Rhinolophus ferrumequinum: one gene and its partner. The protein of the gene in region 2 purifies or fractionates together with the protein of the main gene of each other region. This does not show direct contact. Links are inferred from orthologs where the notes say so. Each region holds a gene or a part of one and is shown on either strand. Other genes may lie near its edges.

What was found. The genes of interacting proteins can lie anywhere in the genome.
Region 1: the proteins of CASP9 (region 2) and DCC purify together in Homo sapiens (co-immunoprecipitation; 3 studies listed by BioGRID and IntAct, with this or other methods). This does not show direct contact. The link is inferred for Rhinolophus ferrumequinum from reciprocal best matches to the Homo sapiens genes CASP9 and DCC.

The regions. Positions count from the first base shown.
Region 1 is NC_046302.1:42,488,500-42,496,079, forward strand, and holds the start of DCC (netrin receptor DCC), read left to right. Parts: upstream 1-4,565; 5' UTR 4,566-5,108; coding exon 5,109-5,199; intron 5,200-7,580. UniProt on the Homo sapiens protein: Receptor for netrin required for axon guidance. Mediates axon attraction of neuronal growth cones in the developing nervous system upon ligand binding. Its association with UNC5 proteins may trigger signaling for axon repulsion.
Region 2 is NC_046292.1:10,387,849-10,394,880, forward strand, and holds the start of CASP9 (caspase-9), read right to left. Parts: upstream 3,022-7,032; 5' UTR 2,810-3,021; coding exon 2,678-2,809; intron 1-2,677. Other genes in the region: DNAJC16 (dnaJ homolog subfamily C member 16), read left to right, coding at 6,648-6,814. UniProt on the Homo sapiens protein: Involved in the activation cascade of caspases responsible for apoptosis execution. Binding of caspase-9 to Apaf-1 leads to activation of the protease which then cleaves and activates effector caspases caspase-3 (CASP3) or caspase-7 (CASP7).

The DNA of each region.
Region 1 (7,580 bases), on a different chromosome or scaffold from region 2:
TGGGAAATCTCAGTTAATATCCAAATTCATCACTTATAAGTTCTGCCTTTCGCATAACTGTAGGACACGCCTGTCCTAAGATTCTGCCACTGTCTCACAAAGCTCCTCTTCCTTCTACTTTTCCGAAAACGCGTTCCTCATTTCCTTCTGAGCCTTCACCCACAGTACCTGTAGTTTAGGTTCCATATTTTTACCAACAGTCTACTCAAAGCACTCTAGCTTTTTTCCTATCATTTTCCTTAAAATTCTTCCAGCCTCTTCCCTTTGTGGAATCCCAGTGCCACGTGTAGGTTTTTAAGTATTGATTACAGCAGCACCTCACTTCATGGCACCAAAATCTGTGCTAGCTTCCTATTATTCCTATAACAAACTACCACAAATTTAATGTCTTAAAACAACACAACTTTATTATCTTATAGTTGTGGATGTTAAAAAAGAAAAAAAGATTTTATGGGCTGGAATGAAAGTATTGATAGGACTGTATTTCTTCTGTAGGCTCCAGGAGAGAATCTGAGTTTTACCTTCTCTAGCTTTCAGAGGCTATCTGCCTTTCTTGGTCCATCGTCCCTTCCGGTAATGGACTCACTCTGCTATGACCCCTGCTTTCATTTTCGCATCTCCTTTTCTGACCCTGACTTTCTGTCTCCCTCTTCTGAGAACCCTTGTGATTACATTGGACTCACGGGGATAATCCAGAATAATCTCTGCAATTTATGATTCTTAATTTTATCACATCTGAAAATCCCTATTTCCACATACGGTAACATGTTCACAGGTTGCACGGATTAGGACGTGGGCATCTTTGGAGGGGAGAGGAGGGTGATCATTCTGCTACCACAGATTCTTCATAGGGAGCTGATGCAAGCTCCAAGGTTTCTTCTAAATTAGTACCTTATTGAAGCTCAGATGCGTCCACGATCCAGAGGGAAAAGAGGTTTCTCTGAGTAGTACACCCATGAAAGACAGAAAGCATCTCATTTTTAGAAGCCCCAGAAAATCTCTCCTTTGCTCTGATTAGCTGATGGGTTCAGCTCTGAGTGTATCACCATGATCAGAAAGGTAGGCTGCTCTGCAGGACTAAAGGGACTCAGGACCCACTTTCTCAACTTTGTAGCTAAGAAAATGGAGGAGGAGTTCCCCCAGAGCAAAAGGTGTGATCTGTTACCAAAATAAGGAAGAGTGGATACTGGGCAAACAAACAACAAATAAACGTCAAGTGAAATACACCCCTTCACCCTATGACTGCAGACTCGCCAAGGGCAACGTCTGTATCCTATTTATAGTTGTATATTCCGTATAGATATCACGTAGCCCAAATCTCTAATATAATAATTGCCTTTCTTAAATTAATGACTAAATGGCAAATGTTCACATGATTTGATCTGCAGTGTAGTCAAATTCATAGCCTAACATGTACCATTTGACGAGATGTTACTGTTTTAACAAATACATTTCAAAAACATAATAGAAAGTATCTTTTAAAGTCCGATCATGATATTGGGAGAAGAATAGAAATAGACTAAGGTAATTAATTTTCTGAATTAAGGTTAGACAAGAAATGAAGTTCCATAATGAGGATCTTAAAGGAATTACAGGCTTTTAATTTGACTCACGCTCTTGAACTAATCTCAGAAAATCAATGTTCCTGTTGACCCCTTCCCCAAACATACACATACACAAATAACTTAGGGTACATGTAGTTTGAAGAGATATAATTAATGATTAATTTGCTTTCAGAACTCAAAAGTGTGTCTATTTTTTTTTAACCAGATTAAATCCCATGAGGAATTTAACTCTCAGCACTAAATGAAATACAGACTATGTGAAGAGCATTAATTATTATACTAAACTATTTCCTGTGGCTCCCATTTCTGTCCTCTTCCTATGTGATCTTTTGGTTTCTTTCCCCCCTCCCATCCCCCCCAAAAAAAAGGCTAGGTGGGAAGTGGACCTGACATCTCTGAGAAGAGCCATGAGGGGTGCTGTGTCTCTCAAGTATAAATTGCCACACTGTGAATCAGAAAATACTGAAGCTGTTTCTCGGAGAAGACTCCAAAATCAATCTGGAGTCATCTCCCTCAGAAGAAAGAGAGTGTATTTGGGAAATGAGGACAAGGAACTGACAGAAGCTAGCTGTGGGACCAAATGAGTATCTAAGAGGAAGAGAAGTTGATCTTTTGTAGAGGCTCATTGTTCCGGGGGCAGATGGCCTGATCTACTCAGGGCACAGGGGTCAAGGACCATATTAAAGGGTAACTTAATCATTAGTTGTACTGTGTGAGACCAAGCAGAGTCCATTTAAAGGGATTCGAACAGCACGGACCGTTTTTCCTTCCTACCCTCCCTGTCTTCGTGGACATCCTTGTAGTGATGAGGATTTTATGATTCTCTCAGGAAGAGACTGTGACTCTTTCCTCATACTACACTTTCTAAGACAGTGGTTCTTTCCATTGTTTGGCAGGGGCATGCTTGAACTTATTTTGTGTATCTAATGAAAGCTAAAGAGCATGTGCACAGAAGTCAGTCATTTTTTTCATAAAATTTCAGGATATTCATGAATTCCCTGAAGTCTGTCAGCAGGGGCCTCCCAGGAGGATCAATGGACTCAGTTAGAGAGCCTGCCTCTGGACCCCGAGCCTGTACCTCCAGGGACCTCATCATCAGCTAAAGGAAGCTTGAGTGTTTTGAGAAATTTGGTGGTTACCAGAGAGTTCCATTCGATGCTAAAGGGCACATCCATCTAAGCTACTGTAGGAGGTTTTGATTTGGAGATCCCAGGATCTTCTTATTTTCTTTCCCAAGACAGGAAGAGATAGGCATGACTGAGCATCTGGAAACAGTTGTCCAGTTCTCACATCATGGGGCTTTCCCTGATGATGACTTTATCCTACTTTTTTTTCATGTTTTTCTCCCCTTATTTTTAAGTAACTAATCACATTTTCTTCTCTCAGAAACTGATGAATTTGAGAGAGTGACAAGAAAGTGTGGGGAAGAAAGAGAAAGAGTGAATAGACAATGTAATACAGTGAGGAATGGGGACAACCTGCAGCTGAAATAGCTTCTTAAAAGACAGAACTTTTACCAGAGTGGTGTTTCTATTCATCATCCTTCCTCGCCAAATTCATTTGTTTGTAAGTTCTCTTACTCAGCAAAAATGTATTGGCATGTGCAATATTCCAAATCCTGTGCTAGATCTGTGAGGGGTGCAAAGATGAATGCCATACAGCTCCTTTTAAAGGAGTTTGAAGTCCTACAATGGAGTAAAATATAGAAAGAAAGTCAGCTTATAGGAGCTTTCTGAAAGGGCTTCACTGTTCACTCTTCCTAAATTTCTCTCTCTCTCTCTCTCTCTCTCTCTCTCTCTCTCTCTCTCTCTCTCTCTCTCTCTCTCTCTCTCTCTCAATCCATAATATAAAATTAACAGAATTACATTCACATATTGAGAGCTTTTTTATAGCAGTTTTATAATTAATTTATCTTGTCATGAATATTAAAAAACATAAGATGAACTCCAAAGGTACTAATTTGGAAAATAGATGTCATTTCATGACATAAATATGCTATGTAATCTTTGATAAGAGAAAACCTAGAAAAACCTGAGGGGATTTATTTTTTTCCTAAAGTATTTCAGAAAAAAGAATCACTGTAGTCTCAGGTTTTGTCTGCTTATGTAAACTGAGCCCATGATTCTGATAGAACTGGACTGTCTATCTCAAATCATTTAACAATTTAGAACTCGTTTATTAAATTAATGCATTATTCCATTATGAAAATGGTTTGTGTATACAGTGTAAACTCATGGCATGATAGAAGGGTTTATGCAAGAACGACATGAGAAGCAAGACTGTAAAAAGGATTCCTGTCCAGGCTGAAGTCTAGACAAATAGGGAGTCATTGACACTCTGTAAGAAAAGGCATACGTATGTAAGACTTAAGCTGCTTTTTAAGTGTCATTGACTCGTATGTCAGAGACCTGAAAAGATTTAATTCGGCCTGTACCAAAACTCATTTAACACACCGTTTAAACAACAACAACAACAAAAAAAACCAAAAAAACATTGAAATAGCTTATCCACTAACCATTTCCTCTGTCCTTTTCCCCTTTTTAACTGGGCTAATTTTTGGCCAGTAGCAAAGTTCTTGCCCCTTTGCTGCTAAGCTGTCCTAGGTTTTCCAGTCAAAAATAGTTTCTTGAAGGTTGAGTGTGAAAAGAGAGCTGCAGAACCCCCAGACGCTCACGCAATTCACTGGCTCCATTGACAAAAGTGACTTCCCACGCTTTGCCCACAGAGGGCATCCCTGCTCATTGATATGTAGACCAGGCGAATGCAGCTGCTAGGAGCCTCCTCCGACCGCTCTTTTTTCCCTTCGCCGTCATCCCTCTGCCCCCACCCCCACCCCCTTCCCGTGGAATCTTTGCCTGATCCAGTTCGTTTCCCTCCGGTCTCCACATTTTCCCTTCCAGCCCTCCACTTCTCCGGATCAATGGATAGTACGGCTCCAACTCCCAGCTCACACACCGCTGGCGGACACCCCAGTAACAAGTGAGAGCGCTCCACCAGCAGCCCCCTGCCTCTCCTCCCTCGGTCCCTTCGGCTCTTGGAGGAAAACCGAACAGCACCCCCAGTTCTCGGGGGATTTTTTTTTCTCTTCAACTTTACCCAGCCGAAGACAGGGAACCAGTCTCAACCTTTTAATGCACAGCCCAGCCATAGGATTGTTTTCTGCCTCCTCTTGGTTTCCCCTGGATATTCTGTTTATTGATGACTCCCAAGCCCCGTGGAGAGCTGTCTTCCCTCCTCTTGCGCCGTCTGTTTCCTTGAGTTAGTTTCCCAAGGTTTTTACAGGGGGCTCGGAATCTATTGGACTGAATGGAACTTTTTGCTGCCTCCTTTTGCTGCTGATTTTGTCAGTGGACGCGGAAAAAGGCTTCGGAGGCAGAAGAGGCGCAGGGGAGGTGGAGAAAGAGGTGGAGGAAGAGGACGACGAGGAGGAAGCCGAAGGGGCTCGGCGCGAGTGTGTGCATGTGTGCATGTGTGTGTGTGAGTGCATGTGTGTGAGAGCCGCCGCTGCCCAGGACCCCTGGCCCCGAAGGTGTTGGCTGAAATATGGAGAATAGTCTTGGATGTGTTTGGGTACCCAAGCTGGCTTTTGTACTCTTCGGAGCTACCCTGCTCGGCGCACATCTTCAAGTCACCGGTAAGAGGTTGTTTCCTTTCTTCTCCTCAAACCCCCCACCCCCTACCCCCTTTCCTTTTCCTTCTCATTTCATCTGGCGAGTGGTACAGCTGGGATAGAGGGAGAAAGAGCAAGATGTTAGGAGCTCTGTGCCCCATTTCCTCACCGATGGTAAAAGACAGGAAGACTTTTTTTCCCCCTGGGGGTGGAGGACGTTGGCGGCTGGGGAGTCGGGCGCCCCTCCGCTCTTTTTTAATCTGGTACTCTTGCATCTTAGCTTTCGCAAATACTTGCCTTGATTTGGAGAGCTGGCGGGCTGGGGCGGGGAGGAGGCAGGTGGTGGGATGTCGTTGAAAGGAACAGGGTTGGATCCTTACAGCCTCGGAAACCTACGGATCGGGGCAACAGGGCCAAGCGGAGGTCATGGAGGGGCTCCGAGGAAGTCTGTGCGGAAGGCTGGGCTGAGTCGTTTGCGGCTACAAGCGCCTTCCTTTGGGATTTTTAGACTTGCTGATTGAGAATCGAGAAAGGGACAGCTACTGTGTTTTGGTACTTCGGAGGAGGGGACAGTGGCGCTGAAAAGAGGCGCAGAGTTGTTAGGAAGAAGGAAGCGTGTTTTATTTTATTTTTTAGCGGTGCGTTCAGTTCGCACGCTGTCTCCAGATATCTCCAGGACAGTTCCAAACTCCAAATGACTGATATTCCAGGCAGCCGGCTCCCTGGCTCTGGCGCTTGGCAAGCGCAGTTTTTCTAATTAAAAATGGCAAAAGTGTTTGGGGAAGGGATTGGGTTATAGCAGGAGAAAGAGGGAGCTGAAGGATGCTCGGGCTGCTGCAGTCTCCAAATACGGAACAGGGGCTTCGACGGCTAAAATAATTTAAAAAGAATAAAGAGCCTCATTTTCATGTCCACTCCTTTTGCCGGGCCTCACCACAAATGTAGGTGGGCACTCTGGTACAGGGGTTGGGCCTGGTGGGGAAGCTGTGGAGAACAGCCAGCTGAGCGTTCAGATCCCTTCGGAAGCGACCTTTTCCCAAATCCAAAAGAAAAGGAGCCGCAGGCAGGAGCCAGGCGTTGCTAGGAGGGCCCGAACCAGTGCCTTGGAAATTAATAGGGAATGGAAGGTAAATGACAGCCAAGCCCCCAGCTGCCCCTGAGCCTGAAGCTCTGGCTTTCTTGTTCCTGCTAAATGCTGCATGGCCCAGGGTGGCGAATTCGAGTAGAGAATGTGCCTCTCCAGGTCGCTAGGGATTCAGACAATCAAGCAGGGGACCAGCTGGAGGCTCCCCAAATCCTGGTGCGGGTACCAGCGAACAGGAATCTGCGCATACACGCATACACACAGACCCAGACTCCTCACCTTCCTTGTGTCAGAGCGAGTGAAAGAATGAGTGAGAGAGAGAGAGAGAGAGAGAGAGAGAGAGAGAGAGAGAGAGAGAGAGAGAGAGAGAGAGAGAACACGGGCGCGTGCGCGCGTATGGTGCATGAGTGAGTACCCGCATCCTTGCGCTCAGCGGCCCCTTGCCTTCCTTCCCTCCCTCTCTGGCCAGTCCCCACATCCCGGGCTTCTCTCTCCCGGAGCTTTGTCCTCAGCAATTACTCCCTCCGAAGGAGGGCGGGGGTCATCCCCGAAGTAATGAATAGGTGTCTTTTTAAAATACCCTCCTTGCTACCCACGGAGGCTAGACGCTGCAGCGAAGCATCCAGCCTTCCGCACAGAAGATTGACTTGGGCAGTTTGGGAGACGCCACAGAGGGAAGAGGGGAAGTTCAGAGGGGCATCCCTCGCTGGGTAGAAAGTCTACCAGGTGGGGCTTGAAATGAGTCGGCTGAAAATATTGCACTAGGCACGGTGTGGAAGAATGGACAATGATGTTTTATCAAGTAAACTAAAATATTTTAAAGCCATTTCCCAAGTGACTGTGTCTGATGAAGGCTGGAGGTAAATAAATGGAAACGGTTTTATATATGTTTCACTAATACCTAAATCAATTGAATATCCCTCTTTCCACTTGTTTCTGTCTAGAGCGTTAGGGCCACACAATACTGCTTTATTTTAATTTCCTCTTCAACAGATACGTCTGTGTTTGAAAAGGCAGACAAAAACATGCATATACAGGGAATATGCCTGTGGATAGGCTTGTGGATCTAAATCTTCACGCTTCCCATACTTCTAAATTCATTCTGGTTATTTGCCAATGGATTGTGATGTCGTTTGCACAGGTCCCGGGAAAGTGGATGGTGCTATTTTGAGATACAGTTCATTCAGATGACTCTGGTCTTTGCTCATTAAGAGGTTTCTCCTCTATCTCTTAGTAGCAATTTCCCCTCTTTAGGTACATGGCAGGGAATTGCTGCTGAAGAAAGCAGAGTTCATTCTATGAAAGGACCAGTAGGAGGTGC
Region 2 (7,032 bases):
GAGTTATCCTGGGGGGCAGGGTAGACTATTAAAGGGAGTAAAGCCACAGCCAGGTCAGGTGGCAGCAAAAATGGTGTAGGTGGAATATAGAGAAGTGAGAGGACGGACCAGAAACAAGGAGGGAGAATCTACAGGACGTGGCCGTTGATTGGGTAGCCTGTGAAGAAGGAGAAATGGTCATGGTCAAGATTGACAGGTGTGGGGATGGTGGGGCCCGTCACTGAGACAGAGAGCAGGGTGGAAGCAGGAAGAAGATGCTGGTTAACTGCTGGCTGTCCTTTGAGATCCAGCACTGGGCCAAGTTCCTCAGGAAGCACAGGAATAAGACACCACCCTGTCCTCAAATATCCTACAGCAGCACTGTCCAAGGGAACGTTTCAAGATGAGGGAAATGCCCTTTATCTGTGCAGTCCAAGAGGGCTGTCCAATCGGCCACGTGCGGCTACTGAGCACTTGGGTCCTATGACTGGGGAACTGAATGTTTTATTTTGTTTAATCTTAATTACTTCAGGTTTACATCGAAATAGCCACATGTGGCTAATGGCTACTATGTTGAACAGCACAGACCTGTATATAGTGTCACTGAGAAGATAATTCTCACTAGAAAAACAGTTAGGTACATGTCTACTTCTCTACAAATAGATTGTGGTGTTTTGATTTCTCTCAACAGTTACTAAACCCTCACAACAAGGCGGACACTTGTTACATGCATCGTTTTATTTCGTTCCCCTCAACAACCTTCAATTACAATGATCCCCACTTTCAGGAAGAGGGAAACTGAGTCACAGAAAAGTGTTGCAACGTGTTAATATATAACAAAGCCAGGATGAGGGCCCGGATCCACGTGGTTCCAAAGTCTGTGTGTTTATCAGCCAAACCAGTGTGGTGAAAGGGCGGCCTGTTGTTCGCCCAGCGTTCTTTAAATATTCTGAATTGTTACTGACATTTAAAGTCAGAGACTTGGACTTCAAAATCATGATTTCCAGCTTCTCTTTAAAGACATGGAAAATCTGGCAACACCAGCCCAGCATTCTGGCATGACTGTTACCAGTGCAGAGGTCCTTGCCCCTCTTGGAAGAGAAATCAAGAGTGGGCGTAACAGTTTTGCAGACAAAAAGGTTTATTAAAGCAAAAGCTTGCCGCATTGCGGGAGCACACCTCGAAAGAGAATGGGTGTGGCTCACCCAGGTTTATAGGCGCAGTGGCTTTATGGGCTCTTGGGGTTGGGGGCCATTCCTTCCTCTTTCCCTTCTCCCTCCCCAAAGTATATTGAGGCTGGTACAACCCTGCTGCCAGGCCAGAGCAATGGGACTCCGATGTCTCAGTAGCATCTTAAATCTCCACCAGAGGGGAACGTTTTTTACCATGATAATGAGGGGAAGTTAACAACTATAGGACAGCTCTTTTAATCAATGTGCTTGTGGTTAGCAACTTGCCCTGGACCACTTCTCTCTCCTGCAATGATGGTATTATTTCTTACAGGCCTGGGGACGTGGTTCAAGATTGTTCTCCCCAGCTGCAGGCTTGGCTAGGGCTACTGTGACCACCTACCTGACTACCGGCCACATAACAGAGACAGAGAGCAGGGCAGGAGCAGGAAGAAAGAAGAAGCTGGAAGTGGAGCGGGAGGGCAAGGCAGAGACTGCCTGCTGTAGTGCCCACACATTGGGCATGGGAACGGGTGACCACTGTGGACGTATCTGAAGGCAACGATATGGTCTCAAACCATGTCCACCACTCAGCATAGGCCACACAGCAGGGGCTCAAAAGGCTTCTTTTAATATTAGTCATTGCTACTTTTCCACACGACACTTGTCCTGTTAAAGACTTCCTCACTGGGTCAGGCCAAGCTCCTGGGTGATGCAGAAACCGGACACCCAGCCTGTAAGCAGCCCACAGGACACTGGCCAGGGGCCTCCAGGAAGCCACACACACCCACTGCACCCCATGGTAGGAAATCCCCCAGGAACCTGCCTCACCTCACAGGCCTGTGGTTAAGGGTCAAATAAGACAAAGATATGAAAGTGCTTTTAAAGAGAACCTCCAAGGTTTGACTTTATTCCCTCCATTACCTGCACTGAACCGTTCATCTCCAAAACCCCTTCCAAAACATAAACTTAACATATGAGGCGCTGGCCAAGGAGGACAGGGCAGCCAACCATCATATGTTGTGCCCTTACTCTGTGCCTGACACTCCACTGTTTCACATCCGTTATCACATTGAGCCCTCAGGACAATACTACTGGTGTCCCCGTTTCACGGCCCAGGAAACTGGCTCAGAGTACAAGTGCCTTGGGCAAGGACAGGGTGCCAGGCAGTCTGACGCCCTGGATCTCGGTGCTAGAGGAGGAAAAAACACACATGCCTCCTTGCTGGCAAAAGCACGACGCCGCAGCAGCTAACTGCACGCTGGCGGTGCAGGACGCGGAATGGCTTTAGCCAGCCCTCAGGTAGGCGACTGGGATTGTCTGCGTCGGCTGGGCAATTTAGTGGGCTCGCCGCCGCGAGGGAAATCGGGGTTCCCACACAGTCGTGCCCCAAAAGGGGTGGGTACTGGGTGGTACAGAAAGGAGAGGAAGTCGTGGGAGCTCCGCCATTAAGTTACGTTGTCCCCATCTGTAACAGAAGTATGCGCGCGATGCGGGAAGCCGGGGGCGCCGGCTGGATGGGGGCGCACCTGGATGTCCTCGATCATACCGGGCGTGAAGAGCTCGCGGCTCAGCAGAACGTCCCAGAGAGGGGCCACCTGCAGCTCGCTGACCAGCCGCACCCGGCACCGCCGCAGGAGCTGCCGGTCAGCGTCGTCCATGGCGAGCAGACGGCGGGGACACCGGCCGCCTCCGTCCGCTTCCGGGCCACGGCTACCGCGCCCAGCCTGCTCCCCAGGACCCGCCCGGGGTCCAGCCACCGCGTTGCGCTCCACCCGCGAATCTTCCTCACCCCCAGGGTCCAACGCCCGGGCCAGGCCACTTCCGGCCCACTTGGCTCCGCCTCTGAGCCCTGCCCAGCCCCCAGAACCCACCCCCGCGGCACCGCCCCCAGTACCCACCCACTCGTCAACGCCCCGCCCCACGTCAACGCCCCGCCCCAGATACTCCGTCGCGTCACTGACGCATGCCCCTCGCCAAAATTCAAGACCACTCGCTTTTACCAAGACTCGGACTGAGTCACTCTACTGATAAGAGAGACAGCCCCGCCTCGAGCCACAGTCTGTCCCCGCCCCCATTCAACCCCCTTCCGGGTATGGCTCCCCTCTAGCCACCCCTGCTCCCAATAAAACCTTCCACCCGGGTGTCCGGATCTTATCGTTTACTGTTCCAAATTCGTGTGTCTCATCCAACCAGCCCACCCTTCATGGTTTTCCATTTCCCTCTTCCCTCCCTCCCACCCTTGCACCTCCCAAACAAAGACAGAAAACGGGCAGAAATCTCGTCCTCTGAACTCCCAGTTTGTACGGCTCATTTGAGAAGTAATTGATCCTGTTTGTTGAGCATTTGCTAGGTCTCAGCCATTATGCTAGCCACTTTACATTGCATTATCTCATTATCCCTACAATCCTACCAGGGAAGGATTTTCCCCCATTTTATATATGTGGATGCTGGGGCTCAAGGAAGGACAGTCACCGTTCAAGAGCACGGAGGTAGTAAGTGGCAGAGGGGGACAAGACGTAAACTCGAATCTAACTCAAAGTCCACACTCAACCGGGAGTCCACCTTAAATGTATTCTCTTGAATAGCAAAACTTCAGCCCCATTCATTCATTTATTCCACAAATATTTACTACGTTCTTGCCTGTGCCGACGTCTGTGCAGGCCTCGAGAATACAGAGGTATTCTCTGCAGACACAGCCCTGCCATAGGAGCTTACATTCCAGTAGGAGGAGACAGACGATAAAAGATATAGTATGTTAGTGATAAATACAAAGGAGATCTAAATAAATACATACATACATACATATATACAAGGCAGGGCGATATGAAATGTAGCTCTTTATATCCCTAAAGAATCTATCTCTGGCTCAATGAAAGTTTACCTCAGACACCTGTGCCCTCTCCCCTTTGCCCCCACCACACACATCCCTTTCCCTTGCTAAGGGCAGGGATTGGCACATTCTAGGGTGGAGCTCGCTTTTTGGTAAACGGGTTTAGAAGTCCTGGATTCTAGGCCTTGGGCAAGTCCCTGCCCTCTCTGGGCCTCAGTCTCCCCATCAGCATATGGAGGAGTTGGACTAGAAAGGCTCCCTAAGGTCCCTTCCAACTCTGACGCTCTAGAATTCTATGAATAGGCTTAAAGAGAACGGAGACCCACGATTGCTTCCCCACCCTAACAACCGTTGCTAGACGAGGGCCATCTCCTGGTAGGACTGGAAACTCCTCCCTGGATCGGGGAGGTCTTTTTCGCATCCCATCATGCATCGCGACTTAGCCTCGCTAGGAGGCACGTTTTGACCTCTTTGGTCACGACCATGCCTTTTGGGCCCGCCAACGAGCGCGCCTCGTTCCTATGGCAACCGCGCCAGGTCCACGCGCAGACGGTGAGTAACAAGGGTCAAAATAGATTCGCAAGTAGAGGCCCTCAGCCGGTTCAGTGCGCGTCTTTGATGAGCGGGGCCTTTAAGTATCACGTGACTCCCTTCAATCTTTTCCCCTCCCCAGGCTCCGAAGAGCGCTGGTGTGGACCAGAGGCTACCTGCCGGCGGACTAACTGGATGTCGGAAGCTGCCGCCGTTTAGGCTGGTGCCCTTTCCCGGTAACTCCTTCCCGGCGTGACGCGCGGAGCCGCGAACGCGGCGGGACCGGGCAGGCTCAGGAATCTCCCTTCAGTTCCTCCTCGTTCCCGGTCCCTGCTGGGCCTGGGAGGAAAGGGGAACCGACTGGGCCCGGCCAAGGGCTCTCGGAGGAGGCGGCCGTCTCCTGGAGGGTTGCGACCTCCGGCGGGTGTTCGAGGCGGGGCTCAGACCCAGAGTGTGTCTCCGGCAGCGGCTGCTTAGTTTAGGGAATATTGCCTGAGGTTGGTAGCCTACCTGTTGGGCAGGTTGTTTTCTGCCCTGGGGCCGGCGTCGTCAGGCGGTCAGCAAAAGAACTTCACAGCCCCCACCCCGCACTTGGGCCCTCTAACGAACTGGAAGCGACTGTCACAGTTGAATAAGGCAGTGGTTGCACAGCACGGCAGAAAAAAACTACCAAGTACCCTTTACTGACCGTTGACCCTATGCTCAGTAAATCCTTTACATACATTTAACCCCCGTGTTGATCCTTTCAAGATGGTATTATTCACCCCCGTTTTTTGAATAAGGACACTGAAGCTTAACAAGTTTAACTAACTTGCCCAAGGTCATAAAGTGGTGGAGGATGGATCCCAATCTTCGTCTGATTCCAGAGCCCAAGTGCTTACCCGGTAGCGACATCACCTTCGGATTTTTAGCGCGCTGGACCTTTTTGTAGGCTAGAATAGGTTATAGGTCACCTTTCCAAAGAAACTGGTTTGTTTTGGGATTTTATTCAGCATGCATGCAATCCTAAACATTGGTCATCAGGTTAGTCAATTTTGTGAGGACTCCCAGTCAGTATTTAGACTCCCACCTGTTAAAATCCACCGCTGTTAACAGCTTTTGCCCACCCTCTTAAGTAAGGTATCAACAATAGACACTCGAACCTTGAAACTTGACTGATTTATGAGAAGTCAAGATACATTTGGGCCTTGATAAAACTTTGTATAACATCACAAAGAGCATAATCCTGGAGTGTGTCAGGGCAATCATACAGCACTACCTTGTTCTTAAAGCAGCCAGGATTCTTTCCAAAACCCGCAATGAATGCATGCAGTCACTACACTCACCAAAGATGGAGCTTTAATATTTGAAGACCGTGTCTGTCTGGTGTACAGTCTTTGCCATTAATTCCCCTTCATGTGGAAAACTAAATTTTTTCTCACCACTTTTTCTCAAATAGTGAAAAAAAAGTTGAGCATTTCCTGAGGCCTCCATTTATAATGACCATATTGCTAATGATCACCTTCTCATTGTCTTGTTCAAATGGACTAGGTAAGAAAGAATAGAATTGGGGCATATTAAATCATAATTGCATAGTTTTTAAAGAGCATTTCACTTTCGTATTTGTACTTATTTAACACCCAAGAATGTCACAACTATCTATCTCATTTTGTGGTTTTGCACATGGTAAATCTTAGGATTGCATGAATGTATTTAGCATATATTCAGTGAAGTATTCTTAAGTCTCATATTTTAAGTTTAAACTATCACCAGAATAAGGAAGTAGTGGATTGAGATGTAGTCACCTTGATTTTCCTATGTATTTTTTCCCACATTCGCTTATTATTTCATCTCGTTCATTTTCAGTCATTTCTAAAGTGTTTCTAATCCAAGGATCCTGGAGAGTTGCCATTAATTCTTATTGCTCATCTTTTCATCTATAATAGTTCCTATTTGTGATATAAATAGTAGCGAGATTATTGCTTTTTTTTAAATATGGTCTAACAGCTTGACACTTTTCCTGCAAAATATCTTTTGTTTGTTTTGTTTTTCATCTCTGTATCTTATACCTTTACCTGGAAAAGCAAGACTTTCCAGGTTTCTACCACTGAAACTTGTTGCCTCTTCAATCATTTCAGCTCTGGAAAGGAAGAGAAATGGAAGTGAAAAAGTTGAGCATTTCCTGGCAGTTCTTGATAGTTCTGGTTCTGATCCTGCAAATTCTGTCTGCGTTGGATTTTGACCCATACAGAGTCCTAGGGGTCAGCCGAACAGCCAGTCAGGCTGATATTAAAAAGGCTTATAAGAAGCTCGCCCGGGAATGGTAGGTGAAACAAAGAAATAGTTTAATATAAACTAAGCAGTTTTAGCAGGGGAATGAAGCCTAAATTGTGATTAGCTTTTATTTGTCTCTGTTTCTGTGTTCAATAAATATATAATGTATCTGTCTAAAATATTTTATTTGGGAGAACTAATGTTCGTGTTATTCTATAATTTTTAGTAATGCAACCCAAAGCCTGTGTTACTGTGAAACCCCTTTAA